Linked DNA regions of Schizosaccharomyces pombe. Changing the gene in region 2 together with the main gene of any one other region gives a genetic interaction. Each region holds a gene or a part of one and is shown on either strand. Other genes may lie near its edges.

Region 1 (4,076 bases), on a different chromosome or scaffold from region 2:
ACTCTTTAAATTTTTCATATCACTTTGGACATCTGCAATCGTCAATGTATGTTGCTGTCCTTTAGCTACTGATAGCGACTGTAAAGTTTCCTTTAAATGAAATTCATTTCTCCCCACTATATGACATTGATGACCTTTTTGGCTCCAAATTTGTGCGATTCTCTTACCTAATCCACTGCTACCTCCAGTTATTAGAACTTTTCGCATTGAATGAAGGAGTTGGGCGTTGCTGATGAATGCTCCCTTCAACGCCTTTGACAGCAAACAGATACATCTATCTACGGCTATTCAATATCAAAAAAGGATTTACTAGTTTATTTCCAAACAGAAAAGGAAGTGGTATTTATTAATTAATTTCGTTTTAATATTCGAAGTTGGTACTAGGTATATATAAGCAAAAGTAATCTCTACAGTATACTTCATTATAATTCGTTTCTTTTAGATAATACGAGTTTGCTAAAGAAAGCTTTAGTATTAGTTTTCAAAGCGCACATTGTTAAGTCACCCTTAATGGAATTCATCAATATTATTCTTTAATGTAGTAAGAGAAATCACATTAATATTTGTAACCGTAACTATGTTTGTAAATCAATGAGCCATTGAATTAAGGATTTAATAATATGCGAATGGTATATATAAACGTTGAATTATAGGAAGAAGACAAAAAATATTTCGGAATTTAACTCTTCTTTCATCACCAATTTGATGCTTAACTTTGAATGTTTTTTCGAGTTTTATGAGCTCGTGCACTGTGAGCTTTCCCAGTATCAATATTCGACTTAGTTGGGGTATTCGGCTCTGAATTAATGTTATTCTTTGCAAGGTTTTGTGGCCATTTGGTATCCTTTTTCATAATTGATTCCGGAGTACTGTTTAACGAATGCTTCTCTCTATTACCAGGGCTCACGATGTGTTTCAAGGACCATAGGACACGCTTAGATCTTTTCTTAGACGGTGTAGGTGATTCCTTTGGATAGAGGCCGGTTTCTAAAGAGCCAGTCCTTCTCCTTTTATTTTTCGCAGGGGCTTTTTGCATTTCCTTTTCAGCAGAAGAGTGGTCTAACGGACTTAATGAAGATTCTAAAGGTAACTTTTGTTTACCTACAGGGTCTTTTTCTTCTTCAGATTTGAAGAGTTGATTTTTGATTTTTGCCTTCTCTTCTTTCAGTTTTAGTAATTTGACAGGACTTGATTTACTCTGCAGAGATTTCAAAGTGGACCGGAGAGCTGGGCTTGATTCAAGTGTAGCTAATCTTCGTAGTCTCTTTTGAGTTGCAAATGTAGAATTTGGTGCAAAAGCTTCTAACTTGGTCCTAATGGAAGGTGGAGATGGAGTTGAGTGGTCGACAATTACGAATGTCTTCGAACTTGATGTAGGGGTTCTTAATGGAGAAAATGTCGATGATCGGTTTTTATTAGGAACTTTGAGAGGAGGAGACTTACTTAAGATGGAGGTGGGTAATTTAACACGGGAAGGTGGAGACTTTATAGTTGATGACAACGATTTCTTAGGACTCGGCACACGGGCCGGTTTTCCAAGATCTGTTTTTCCATATTTTTCAAACAAATTTTTTCTTCGTTTAGGTGAGACACTGAAAAAGTTGTCCTCTTCAAATATACCTGGGCATTTTGTAGTGCCTTGCGAAGGATTTGAGGTTTTTCCTTGGCCTTTATATGGTGAATATTTGACATCGTGCTTGTAATTATCTATTTCATTATCGAGCTTTCTTTCATTATTATCGATAGTACTCTTGCTGGGAGACAAGGACGTTTCGTGGTTCTTTGAGGGACTGTTACAGATGTTGATAAGTTGTTTCAAGTAACGAGTTTGGGTATCGCTTTCTTTTTCTTCATTTAAAAATTCCCTGTGGTTAATTTTTGGAGGTGAAATAAGCTGATTATCCTTTGAAGGGTTTGAGTGAGTAGAAAAGTCAGCTACTAGCGATTTTAAGGGCGACAGAGGTTTCAATGCTGAAGAAAAGACATCACTGGATATAAGATTATTTTGAAATGTTGATTTTTCTTTCTTTGTCGAAAAAGGAGCAGCAGGGAAAATTAAAAGAGGTTCAACAGCTGAAAGAGAAAGTTTGTAAGCCATTATCAGCAGTGTTAAATGTATATCAAGTATGAAATGTACAAAATCCAAGAAATATGAAATAAAAAAAAAGAAACAGTTAGGCCTTTAATAAAACGAAGGTTAGAGTACCGCGCATGGAATTTGAACTTCACTGATTGAAAACAATGCAGCTCAAAAGCAATACGAGCAAAAGTATTAGTATAACATAGGTTTTTAAATTCTTGAGATATTAGGCTCAATACTGATACCTGTACTCTCAAGGAAGCGTTTACGTATGGGAATTATAGTACATGTACACAGATTAACGTATGGCTAAATAGTAAATGAGGTTGTTGTACGGAAGAAATATTTTATACTCTAAGTGGAAACAATAAATTATATTTTGACACATAGAAATTAAAAAAAAATTTAATAGTAAATCTGCGAAGCTTTATAATTTATTGTCACAACGTGTTTTTACAATTACCTTTTTAGCAAAGGCTCTAAAAAATCAGGAAAGTACTTTTATATTATTTCATTATGTTTCTGTACAAAACAAAAGTATTATGATCCGAGAAATACTAATTTGTAGTAGGTAAACAAAGAGCATTATACTGAATAATAGAATACGAAGCTTGGACAGAGAACAGTTATTAATACTATCCATAATTTTTTAATTTCCCTGTTTTCCTAGTTTGTAGATTTGTTAGCGAGTAATATTTCATGCTTAAAATAAGTTGATTAAGAATCTGATTCGGGTCTACAGTTTGAAAAAGACAGTATATCTTTTCAGAATGATTATGACGATATAGTTTTATCGAGTTTGTGGAAATTACTGTTGAAATAATTAAAGATGTATGAATTAATTAATTACTTAACCAAAGGACGGTATGTAAATCTAAAAACAATGTTTGGGGTTTCAAAACACTTGCTTATTTATTATAAGAAAATGCTGAGATTCAAAAATTTTTAGTAAGAAGAAAAGGACTACATTAATTGCGGTTTGCAACTGTTTTGTCATATGGTAACTTAGTAAATTTTTTTGTTTTTGATGAAAAGGTAAATAAATACCCATCATCGCACCTACTAACCTACATACTCCATTGTAATTGAATAGCTCTTTAAAAATGAATAATTTCAATGACAGCATTTGAACTTCCTAACGATTACATTGTTTAATGCATCAATATCGTTAATCAATAATCATTGATATTTGCCAATTGATTAGGAAAGAACAAATTATTTTATGCAATCATGATCTTTATTCCTTAAAAAAAAAAAAAAAAAAAAATTGGGAAATACACATTGTAGCTATACTTGCTAGAACGCGAATTATACTTTGAGTTACACTTTGTCTCACCCAAAATAAAGAAAAAGAAAAAGAAGTTTCATGCACCATTAATAAAAAAAAACACGATAAAAATTACACAAAAAATTTATACAAGCAATTAACCTAAAAAATAAAAAAACACAATATAAAATACATGAAAAAAATATATGTATAATTAACTACTAAAATTAGCCGATGCTTATTTCTGGTTCAAAAAGCGAATTGCGTAACTCATGAATATCAATCAATTTTTGTATAGAAAGTTGAAAATATTAAACTTCAAGTACAGTTTTATTAACTGTACAAATATTTGCCGAGTTACTTCCTCGTTATTACCGCTTCGCTGCACTACTTATCTATTTTGCAAAGGCAATTCCTTCAACTCTGATTTCGATACCCTTTAACTAGTAGAGCCGCTGTTTCTTTTTTCATTGTGTGCTTATAAGGGTAATTTGTTGCAGGACGGATTTTTCAATTGCATCAATACTCAATCGCATCAGAAGTCAATTTGAAAAAATAAAATATTTACAATGTACTAATCACACTACTAGTTGCACTCGCCGAATTCTTGATTCGGTATTGTAAAATCATTTCTAACAATTCAATGTAAAGAAGTTGCCCTTTTAAACTTCAGTAACATTTGTTGAGTTGTCATTTCTATAAGTTCAAGTACCATTAATTGCTTGCACT
Region 2 (4,260 bases):
AGTGCCATTGGTAGAAGCGTTTTCATTAAAACCCTTAATTTGGTTTAAGAGTTCACCGCCGATGTTTCCTGTACCTATTTATTTTTAAGTGATTAGCTTTCGCTTTACAAAACATTCAAGCATTCAATTTATTGTGTGCTTACCAACAATAGCAACGTTAACGTTAGTTCTGCTAGCTGACATTTTCAAATAGTGGGTGGGAGAGGTAGAGATGCTACGACGTTGGGTCGGATTACGAAAAGCAGTGACAAGGGTTTTCTCAAAGGAAACTTTGGAAGAGGTGATATACGAATTGATAATTTTGTTGTAGGGAAATAAAATTTTAGAAAGTGTAGATAATTTAGGGAGATTTAAATTTTTTCCATGTCTAAATATTGTCATACCAAACATTTTTTAGAAGAGTTTATTTTATACCCAAAAATGAGTTTTCAACCAAGGAAGGATCTTTCTCTCTGATTGATATCAAAGTTTTGCAGGTATATTTGTTGTGAACAAAATGTGAGCGACATTATATTAATCGAGTCAGAACATATTTGTAATAATACTCAAAAGCGCAAAATCTATTACTGTAGCAATAATGATGTTGATTTCGTTTGATACAAATTTTATTTAATTTGATTTTGTTTTATTGAAGCTCCGCTAAATAAACTTAGCTAGAAATCTAGTATAGAAGCCGATTTATATAAATTAATCACAAATTATAAATATAACGCATTAAATTTCATATATGGGATTCAATGGCATACAATCATATATTTACTTTTACAATTAATAAAAACCACTTAATCAACTTATGTGATTTATTAGTGTTTATCGACTCGTGAAAAAAAATATTTAATTTTTTGCTTCGTAAATTAAATTATATGCTGCTAAGTGTCTAAATAAATCACATTCCATCCATCAAATTTGCTTTTTTATTATTAAAAAAAAAAAAAAAAAAAAAAAAAAAAGAGATTTTTGAAGAGAAAAGTCTAGGGTTCAAGAAAATGAAAAACTGTAATGAAACCAATCTGACTATATAATTTGTTAATTATATATGCATATTATTATGATTAGCAAACTCAAATCATAAGCAGGTGCAGCTTTTTCAATTTAAAAGTTCAGATAACATACATTAAATTATTTATTTATTTTCTAAATCAAGCTTAGAAGAAAATAAAATATTATGATAAAATACTGCGAAATTAAAATGTTCTGAATATACCATTTTAAATTCTAATGAAGTTTTCTTGCAAAACAATAAACCGATATTATCTTGAAGTAGGTTGCTATCTCTTAAAATATTTAAATTATTCTTCACCTTTTATTAATAAAGAAAATTGAATCAATTTGCTAGACAATTTGTAGAGCAGCAAGATTTAGAGGGTTGTTTAAAATCAACAATTAATATAAGAAAAGAATTCCAAAGTAATTTAATTATAGGTTTATATACGTTTTTTTAATGTAGTAGTGATTATAGAAACTAGGAATATAGGAAAGTAGGCACATATTATGCATCAAGCTCGTTGTACACCCACCACCCAACCATTCAACTACCTACTACATACAACTCACTCCAGTTTCCTACTGTTAGCCATAACCTTTATTTCTGAGTTAGCAGCAAATATTGCTTTTAAACGGTTTGCCGACTGAATACCGTTCTCCGTCCGTCTTACTTTTCCTCGGAACACTTTACTTGGAAGAAAAATCGTCGAAATTCGGTCGAGTAAAAAATTAATCACAGACCCAAAAATTTGACTTCATAAGTGTCAAAAGCGGTTATATTGGATACCTGTAAAATGTCGAACCCAGATGTGGATTTGGATTCCATTATCGACCGCTTGTTAGAAGGTGAGTGGGGAAAAGCAGACTTGATCATGATGAAGGGTTGAGTTTAGACAAATTTTTGAAAGGAAATTGAAATCAGTTGTTGTTTAATACAATAATTTACATGAAGAAACTGGAAACGACTCTATGTAAATGTTCATTCAACTGTTCATAAAATTTGAGGAAAACCCAGGAAAAAGGGAAAGTTTTTTCTTTGAAAACGTTTAGAAAGCATTTTCTTTGATTCTTGGTCTCATTTGTGATGACACTTGCTTTATATACATAATCACGCATATTTGTATTCAAATGCGATTGCATATTGGCATATATCGTGTTTCTGTGTGAATGATTTTTCTAACCAATACTTCCATCCTTAATTTTACCATTTAAACCATTTAGCTATTTACTAACTTCTTTTAGTCCGTGGTAGTCGTCCAGGTAGACAGGTTCAATTATCTGAAGATGAAATACGATTTTTATGTAACAAAGCACGTGAAATATTTATTAGTCAACCTATCCTTCTAGAGCTTGAAGCTCCTTTGAAAATTTGTGGAGATATTCATGGCCAATATTACGATCTTCTTCGACTTTTTGAGTACGGAGGATTCCCTCCAGAAGCCAACTATCTGTTTCTAGGTGATTATGTTGACAGAGGAAAACAAAGCTTGGAAGTAATTTGTCTTTTGCTCGCTTATAAAATCAAGTACCCCGAAAATTTTTTTATTTTACGTGGAAATCATGAATGCGCCAGTATTAATCGTATCTATGGATTTTACGATGAATGTAAGCGCCGTTATAACATTAAGTTATGGAAAACATTTACAGATTGCTTCAACTGCCTTCCTATAGCAGCTATCATTGATGAAAAAATTTTTACTATGCATGGAGGTCTTTCGCCAGATTTGAACTCTATGGACCAGATCCAAAGAATCATGCGACCGACCGATGTCCCTGATACTGGGTTACTCTGTGATTTACTTTGGTCTGATCCTGACAAGGATCTTACAGGCTGGGGTGATAATGATAGAGGTGTTTCTTTCACGTTTGGACCTGATGTTGTCTCTCGGTTTTTGCACAAACACGATATGGATCTTGTTTGCCGAGCCCATCAGGTTGTGGAAGACGGTTATGAGTTCTTCTCTAAACGTCAGCTAGTCACATTGTTCAGTGCACCTAATTACTGTGGCGAGTTTGATAATGCAGGTGCGATGATGAGTGTTGACGAGAGCTTGTTGTGCAGTTTCCAGATTTTGAAACCGGCTGAAAAAAAACAACGCTACGGATACCAAGGTTCAAGTCAAAATTGGCACATGACTCCACCTCGGAAGAATAAGACAGGAAATTCAAAGTAATTTAAGCTCAATCCAATTTCTCCCATTCTTTTTTGTTGGTTTCATTTTCCACAAGCAACAATTCGACGATAATACCGCTTTATGTAGCTGTTTGAACGGATTTCTTTTCGTCATTTCTCAATGGTCGATGATTAATTGTTCATGAAATAACTGAATGTTCTTTTAAGAAATTATTTTTTGCACTACCATTTCATTATTCATTTTCTTTCTTTTCCGTCAATTGTTAGATGTATATAGACTATTGCCTTTTATTTTTCATCATCTAAATTCCCTTTTTTAACAAAATCTGACGCTTAAAAGACGGATGTTTTTACCGAGCAATAGTTGTTTGAACTACTTTATACTTCTTATCTTCGAGAGAGTGCTTAACGTTGATGATGGCATTTTCCGCTGCAAGCTTCTGTTTGCTATCGGTGGAATCCTTTATAATGACCATTGACAATTTTGTTTAAAGGTCTTTCATTTCAATTATGTATACTGGTCTCACGTTGGAAAATAATTTGCCTATTTAGTTATTGTTTATACTACTATGCAATCAAATTTCCTTTTCAGTGATGCTATTTTATGGTAGTTCACACGTTTATATACAGTAGGCTTATACAATGTTTCGGCATTCCTTGGGATTTGATAATATAAAGCCACCGTTTAATCGTAAGAGAGAGTAAGGTGCTTATTATCATTACAGCTATTTACCGGCGAGTTAGCAGAGTACTCACTAACAAGTCTATGAACACAATAATAATATTAAGAAATTCAGATTTATACTGCTGCTAAGGTACTATCAATTAATAGAAAATTTGTACCACCCAATTCTTGACTAAATTCGGTGAAGATTAGCCGAAAGTTAGCCAATATGTATAAGGGCGAATCATCAGTCTAGCACGAAAAACAAGTTCAACCGCAATTAATCTCACGGGTAATTTTGTTAAAAAGTGCAATGATACAATTTACTTTAGATTAACAGAACGTCACAGCTATTCATATACATCCAGTAAGAGCTTACTCTACGCATTCGCTTTAAATTTAACCGGCAGACTACCTTTATTTTTAGAAGCACAAATCAAACGAGATTCTCATTTTAGAAATCCAAAATTTTTAAAAC
Region 3 (6,694 bases), on a different chromosome or scaffold from region 2:
TTCTTTTTTTTTTGGCACAATTTTGGCTAATCCTTGCAATTTGAAGCATTAGTTTGGCCCCTTTTAAGTAAAGTTAGTATGCTAAATGAATTGTGGAATAATCTATATTTTTGCAATTGTTAAAGGACAAGCCTGGACTGCTGTATAGACAATACTTTTTCTATTTTTATCAAATCTTCCTCAGAGAAGATGTCTGACGCCCTTTTTATCATGTCACACACATTATGCTAAGTAAAGGATTCTAGTGAAATACAGTAGTTATGCAACTATTAATAAGTCATTATTAAATTGAAACATGTTATGTCGTTTGAAACTGGATAACATTACGATACCGGAGATTTGTGACCATTTATATCGTAACATTGACTAAATCCAAATGGGAGAATGATATTGGGCTAACCAAGTCTGCTCGTATTTGAAGGCTTATACCAAATGCAACGAATAGAATATCATACCATACTACGGGATACACGGGATTTACAAATATCCAATTGTAAGAATTGTCAATTTCCCGGATTTAAAAAAAAAAAAAGAATGTTAGTATTGATGACAAAAGCCTTACTTGTTTGAAATACTGAACAATTATCATTCGTTTATACAACGCTATCCTTCCTGTGCCGAATATAAACATTTTACGTCCTTTTGTATTTCCATTCTTCAAAGAAATCCTAATCGTGGTATATGATTTATCATTCTAATAAAAAATATTAAGACAAGCGAGCTCAGCCATACTTGTTTTTTTTTTACTCATTTAAATGTTGTACAAATGCTAGTTATGTTACTAAGCTTTACTGTGATTTGAAAGCATTAGTGTTGTTAATAACACATATGGATTATAGTACATAATATATCAATTTCAGGTCTTAGCAACGCAATCGTAATCTGACTTAAAAGGATTTATAATTTCTATTTGTGATCAATATATCATCGTAAAAGGAAAAGTACACGAATTAATGTCTGGTCAATTTCACTATGGCTAAGTATAACCATGGAAATGAACAGGAAATAGTTCAGAATGAGCTAGCTTATATTTGCTTAGCCGGTAACCTTTTATAACCACTTTTGAATAGTAAACAATGATGGAACAGGTTACGAGAACCTCAATGGAAAGTAGAACATAGAATTACATGTGGTTGTAAGTTCATGGCAATATCCATCAAATTATAGAAATACTAACAATAAACAGTTTTTTTCTCGATTATTGATTATAAGCCGCTGGAATGATATTAAATAAACACACTCCTTTAAAGGAATATTCACGAGTATTATTATAATATACAATTTGCGAAATAATAATTTATAACAACCTCGCTACAATTTACTTATACTTCTTACAACCGCACATTGCTTTCAAGTTAATCCATTAAATTATGCCAAAAGAACAGTGCGGCTCATTTGACAAAACATTCAAGTGAATCTTAGATATCTATACCTTTTTGAAGTTTGTATTCCTCCATCACAGTGCGCATATGCTTGTGATGCTCATTACCTTATTGTTTACAGAAAACCCAATATTACAAATAGACCCAGTTGAACAAAAGTACCCCCAATTTACCTTTACTTTATACAATTTGTTAATGATAAGAATGAACAACAGTCATATTGTTCATTGGAACTTTTACAAATAGGATCTTTATTCATTATTTATTCAGATTAGCTAACAGGAATGATTACAGAAAGCATCATCGTAGTCTACCGTATCCTAAAAAGGCTTACAGACTCCTTAAATAATACAACGAAAGGCGTTCTAGGCCGCAAAAAGAAACTCACCGCCATAAATTTAACGAACTATCATTACAATTTCTTATGTTCGTCTTAATCTAAAAACAACAAAGTTCGTGTGTCGACGTGCTTTGTTTAACTTGACGATGCCAACATCGCCTCGTCGCAATAGTATAGCGACGACCGATAATGTTATAGGAAGAAACAAAAGTAGGAAGCGTCCACACTCGCTTGGAGGACCTGGTGCGCTTCAAGAACTTAAAGAACACACAAATCCAGCAAAAGGCATTCTAAAGAGTTATTCATCCTTTTCCGTAGATCCCGCTTTCACAGGAGATGAAGACTTTAATGATATACACACACAAATAAATAACACGGTCATTGGAATCTCTAGTAATGTTATGGCTGCGTCAAAGAGACTTCAAATGGAAGACCTACAGCAATTGTCGCGTGAGACGTCTAGAAAAAGTTTGAACAGAAGAGTTTCCTTTGCTAGTCATGCACGTGTACGTTGGTATCCTAAAGATCACCAGAGTGACTCGGAAAAGTCGACATCTAATCACAGCACACCTGAGCGAACTTTTGCATCTGATGCTAAAAACCATTCCCCTAAAGGTCCAACAACGACAAGTTTTTCGAGAAACGAAACACAATCATCTCCCCATAGTCATAGTGCCTCGATTATTTCAGACGGTAGTGATATGGACATTGCGTCCCCTATTCGGTCAACCGAATCAGATATGGTCTCTGAGGCATTGAATGCTGGCCATCCGCCTCCTTCTCTGTATCCGGAGAATGATGATTTAAGTATCCAGAATCCAACAAAAGCCTTACCTGAAGCAGAAAAGGCACTTGATGTTCACGATGCCACGAGAGAGCAGGTTAATGATAGAGAGGAAACTAACATGGATTTGACTATCCAATTCCAAGAAGCAGATTCGTTTTTATCACATTCCGAATCAATTAAAGGTCTTAGCTCTAGCGAGCAAGGTACTGTTTATAGTTTAAAAGCTTCTCATGACCCTTCAAACCAAACTCAACTTTCATCCCCTAACAAATCATCTAGTCCAACTAGTATTGAAATTTCGGATTTCTCCAAAAATAACGAAAATCACGATCAGTCGGAAAATAAAGAAGAAGAAGAAGATATGATGCTAACTCGACCTATTGAAATTCCGCAACACTTTTCCCCCATCGCTCGCCCTTTAACTTCCCAAGAAGCTATTGTTGACATGGATATTACCTCTAATAACATTAATTTATCTCCAGTGTCTCATTTTTCCAATGGCTTAGATTTACAAAACTTAGAAGAAGCGCCTATGAACCTTACCCGACCAATTAATGCTAATCCTCACTTAACTAATCATTCTCCGAACGATTTAACTAATGGAGAAGAAGAAATGGATACCACCTCCGCCTTTAATATCGAAAACTCACATTTAACTCTCCTTTCCCCCATTCGTCCATCGTCACGATCCATGGAAGAGCAAATAATGGACTTGACACAACCCATTAGCTCTACAAATGCACCCACCCATTTGAATGAAGATGATTTAAATCAATTTACCTCAAATATATCCTCTTCTTCAAAACCGAGAAAGGATAATAACAAGACTGCCAATTCTTCAAAGCCCATTCCCGACAGTGAGGACTTTATGGACATTACTAGACCTTTCAATATATTATCCCCTTCTAAAGAAGCACTTTCCGAAGAGCAACCAATGGAATTAACCTCAACAGTTTTTCCTTGTGAGAATTCTACATCTCATCTTGAGGTGGAAGAAGCTGCTATGGACGAAACAGTGGCTTTTCAAATCCGTGGAAACAATGTTGAGTTACCTTCAGCAGACAAGGAAAATGCCGAGAGAGAAGAAATACCCTCATATAGTGATAAGTCAGAAAATTTCAATACTACCTCCTTTACCAACCATGAACGGTCACCAAATGGGAACAATAATCTAAAATTTTCGAAAGATCCTAACTCTTCTTCTCCAAGTAGACATGTGGTAGCGACTCCTACTGATAAGCTTGGTACTCGGAAAAGACGCTTAAGATATAGCACTTCAAGTTTTGATCAAAGTACCTTGCGTCGCAATCGTCTTGCAACAATCCGTAATGCTCGAAAATCAATTTCAACTTTGAATGACAGAGAACTTCTACCGGTTAACTTTTTCGAAAAAAAAGTAAATTCTGGTCTCTATAAATCGGTTGAGCGATCCGAAAATTATCGTCTAGGAGCTACTCCACTTACCGCAGAGAAGCCATTCACCACAGAAAAGCCGCTTTCAAGTCTTCCTGAAGAAGTTTCAAGGCAACCCACTGATGACAAAGGCGAACAAGTGTCTAATGCAGATGTTGATTCTGGATTGAGTAAAACAGAGCGACTAACAATTCAACAGACTAACGAAATTAAGCACGTTCCAACTAATACGACTTCTTCTGTTAAGCTTCCTCAACAACCTTCGAATGAGGATGAAAAAGAGCGTATAACAACTGCAGATTACGCCGATTCAACTAGTTTGGAGCGATTGGAATCTCAGGAACCCAACCGGAATGAACTTGTTCAAGTTGGTTCGTCAAATGCAGGTAATACAACTTCCGTGGGCATGAATGAACATGAGAAGTCACCCGTCAAATTATCAAAAGGTGTGAGCAATGTTGATACATCGTTGGGCGCTTCGACTATTAACACGAACATTTTGAATCAAGACTCTGGTCCAAATGAAGAAATACCTGTTGGTAATGAGCCAGAATTTGATACGATGCCAACTCTACCAAACGTCGAGCCGATAAGCCTATCAGATTTTCTTAAAATGACCGGAATTGAATTTTTGGATAATCTTACTATTGCTAAAAGACGAGAAACCCTATTGCCAAATGCTGAAGAAAATAAGAAATGCAGTATCCAAGAACTTTTGGAATCTTTTTACATACAATTCCCTTTGTTAGAGTTATACAAATTTAGTTGTCAGCAATTACAGGATTATATTGCCGAAGGGAAGGATTTTGTTACTAAAATTGAAGAGGAAACTTTGAAAGAGAACCCGTTACTATTCTATGAGTATAGGAAAGCATCCAGTGATATGAGGGTTTTAATGGATTCACAATTTTTAATGATGAAAACTTTTGCTAGACTTCAAGCAAAAGGTGATTGGTACGAATGGCGTGAGGGTTTGATGCAAGGAATCAAACATGAATTAAATTTAAATTTAACTGGGATGCAAAGAAGCTTGACCCATTTAATGGATGTCGCGAATGTTATTCATCCGTATGCGCAGGAAATTCAAGAGAGATACAATGGTAGTATTACTACAGTACAGACATTAAAGAAGCAGAAGGAATTTGCAAATCAGTATGACTCAACTCTTCTAGCGCAGGCGCAAGAAAAGTTAGAGAAACTCAAGGTTGAGGTTGAGAGGAGACGTCGGCTTCTGAGTGAAAAAGAAGAAAGAAGAAAGGAGTTGGCAATAAAGATAGAACAAGTGACAAACTCTTGCTCTGATTTGGAATTACGTACCAACGCTGAACAAGATTTTTATGCGAAAAACCAAGATTTTGAATTTGACGAAATTAAGCGATACGAGGAGCAGTTGTTAAATCTTAAAAATGAACTTGGCTGGACCATAGTTTCTTTGACCGCGGGCGGAATTAAATTAGCTACAAATAACACTGCTCTTTCTCCTTATTCAGCCGAGGTTACGGTTGAGATTTTGAGGCAAAATTTCCAAGTTAACGTTGATATTGCCTGTAAGTTCCCTAACGAAAGTAATGCTTGCAGCTCAAATGTGCTCGAGCATGTTGCATCGTCGTTTTCTAAATGGCATTCCAAGGTATTTTCTAGGAACTTACGTCTTCTGAAGAAGTATCTTAACGATGTTTCAATTTGTTGGGAACAAATTGTTTATCTTGTCCAAGATTTCCAGCGATTATGGTACCATTGGCCCTTTTTGTCAGTTGAAAATGATGATAAGTCTATTATCATAAATGTTGAGCTATACCTGCGTTCGGTATCATCTAAGGTAAAGGTTGTTTTCGGTCTCCCAATTGATACTATCTACCAAACTACTGAAGTAGGAAAGTTTTATGCTTCTACATCAGTCGCTGTGAAACAGATGTATGCGGAAAGTGAAGGAGACTCTTATGTTAGTGAGGTTTTGAATACTCTTTCGGAAGTGGTGCATTGTACATCAACTTATGCCCTTTCGTCTGCTTGTCTTACTGTTTGGAACAAATACAGCTAGATATTAATGGGAATGATTAGCTATGCTGCGCCGAAGCGACTTCCTTTCCCAATATTCATTTTGTGCTTAACGCTTGGAAATATCATTTATCCTTGTTGTATACTAGTTCATTCGTTTTCGTTAATTCACATGTTACTAAAGAAAATGTATATATTTTATGCTATTTAATATTGGTGAAATAATAATGGTAGATCTTGACTGATAATGAAATTATAAATCTTTTTGTTAAACCCGTAATGCGCTACAAAATAAAGTGTTTAGTTAATATATAAATAAACTATCCATAATTAAAAGATTCTCGGATGTGCAAATCTGGTGTAGTAAAGTTTCACATTGATCTGATAAGTACGGGATCGACATCTTACGTTCTCCTAGATACATATATACACAATCGATAGAAGAGACCGATCCTAAACAAAACAAAGATCTTAACTAATTTAAGAGAATTGGACGGATATTTAGATTTTTATAATTGAAAGTCAGACGCTGCTTACAAAATTATGAGTTTGCAAGCTCAAATTTTGCAGAATTGAAATAGGAGGTTTTTTAGATTTTTAGGCTTCGCTCGGATTATTAAGTTATCCATTTTTTATTTTTGAACACAGTTTAATTAAGTAAGTCAAAGTTCCTGAACCTCGTCTGCAATTTCTGATAAAAATATTAATACACTTAAAAATAGATTGCATCCGCAATCGAAAGTTCACAGACAGCCGGTTGAGCCCTAATTTCCA

The links. A genetic interaction does not mean that the proteins touch.
Region 1: mutations in dis2 (region 2) and nsk1 impair growth when combined (synthetic growth defect), as found in Schizosaccharomyces pombe (2 studies listed by BioGRID, with this or other methods).
Region 3: mutations in dis2 (region 2) and spc7 are lethal when combined (synthetic lethality), as found in Schizosaccharomyces pombe (one study listed by BioGRID).

What each region holds. Positions count from the first base shown.
Region 1 is NC_003424.3:3,180,930-3,185,005, forward strand, and holds nsk1 (Clp1-interacting, microtubule plus-end binding Nsk1), read right to left. Parts: upstream 2,399-4,076; 5' UTR 2,099-2,398; coding exon 710-2,098; 3' UTR 501-709; downstream 1-500. Other genes in the region: 3-oxoacyl-[acyl-carrier-protein] reductase Oar2, read right to left, coding at 1-207. UniProt on the Schizosaccharomyces pombe protein: Ensures chromosome alignment and accurate chromosome segregation during mitosis. Promotes proper kinetochore-microtubule (k-MT) interactions during anaphase B.
Region 2 is NC_003423.3:3,172,617-3,176,876, reverse strand, and holds dis2 (serine/threonine protein phosphatase PP1 catalytic subunit Dis2), read left to right. Parts: upstream 1-1,778; coding exon 1,779-1,830; exon of another isoform or gene 1,831-1,898; intron 1,899-2,179; exon of another isoform or gene 2,180-2,226; coding exon 2,227-3,158; 3' UTR 3,159-3,712; downstream 3,713-4,260. Other genes in the region: hom6 (homoserine dehydrogenase), read right to left, coding at 1-74, 144-183. UniProt on the Schizosaccharomyces pombe protein: Essential role in cell cycle control. PP1 is perhaps required for exit from mitosis.
Region 3 is NC_003421.2:785,789-792,482, reverse strand, and holds spc7 (outer kinetochore KNL network protein, KNL-1 family member, blinkin, Spc7), read left to right. Parts: upstream 1-1,822; 5' UTR 1,823-1,868; coding exon 1,869-5,963; 3' UTR 5,964-6,194; downstream 6,195-6,694. UniProt on the Schizosaccharomyces pombe protein: Acts as a component of the outer kinetochore KNL1 complex that serves as a docking point for spindle assembly checkpoint components and mediates microtubule-kinetochore interactions.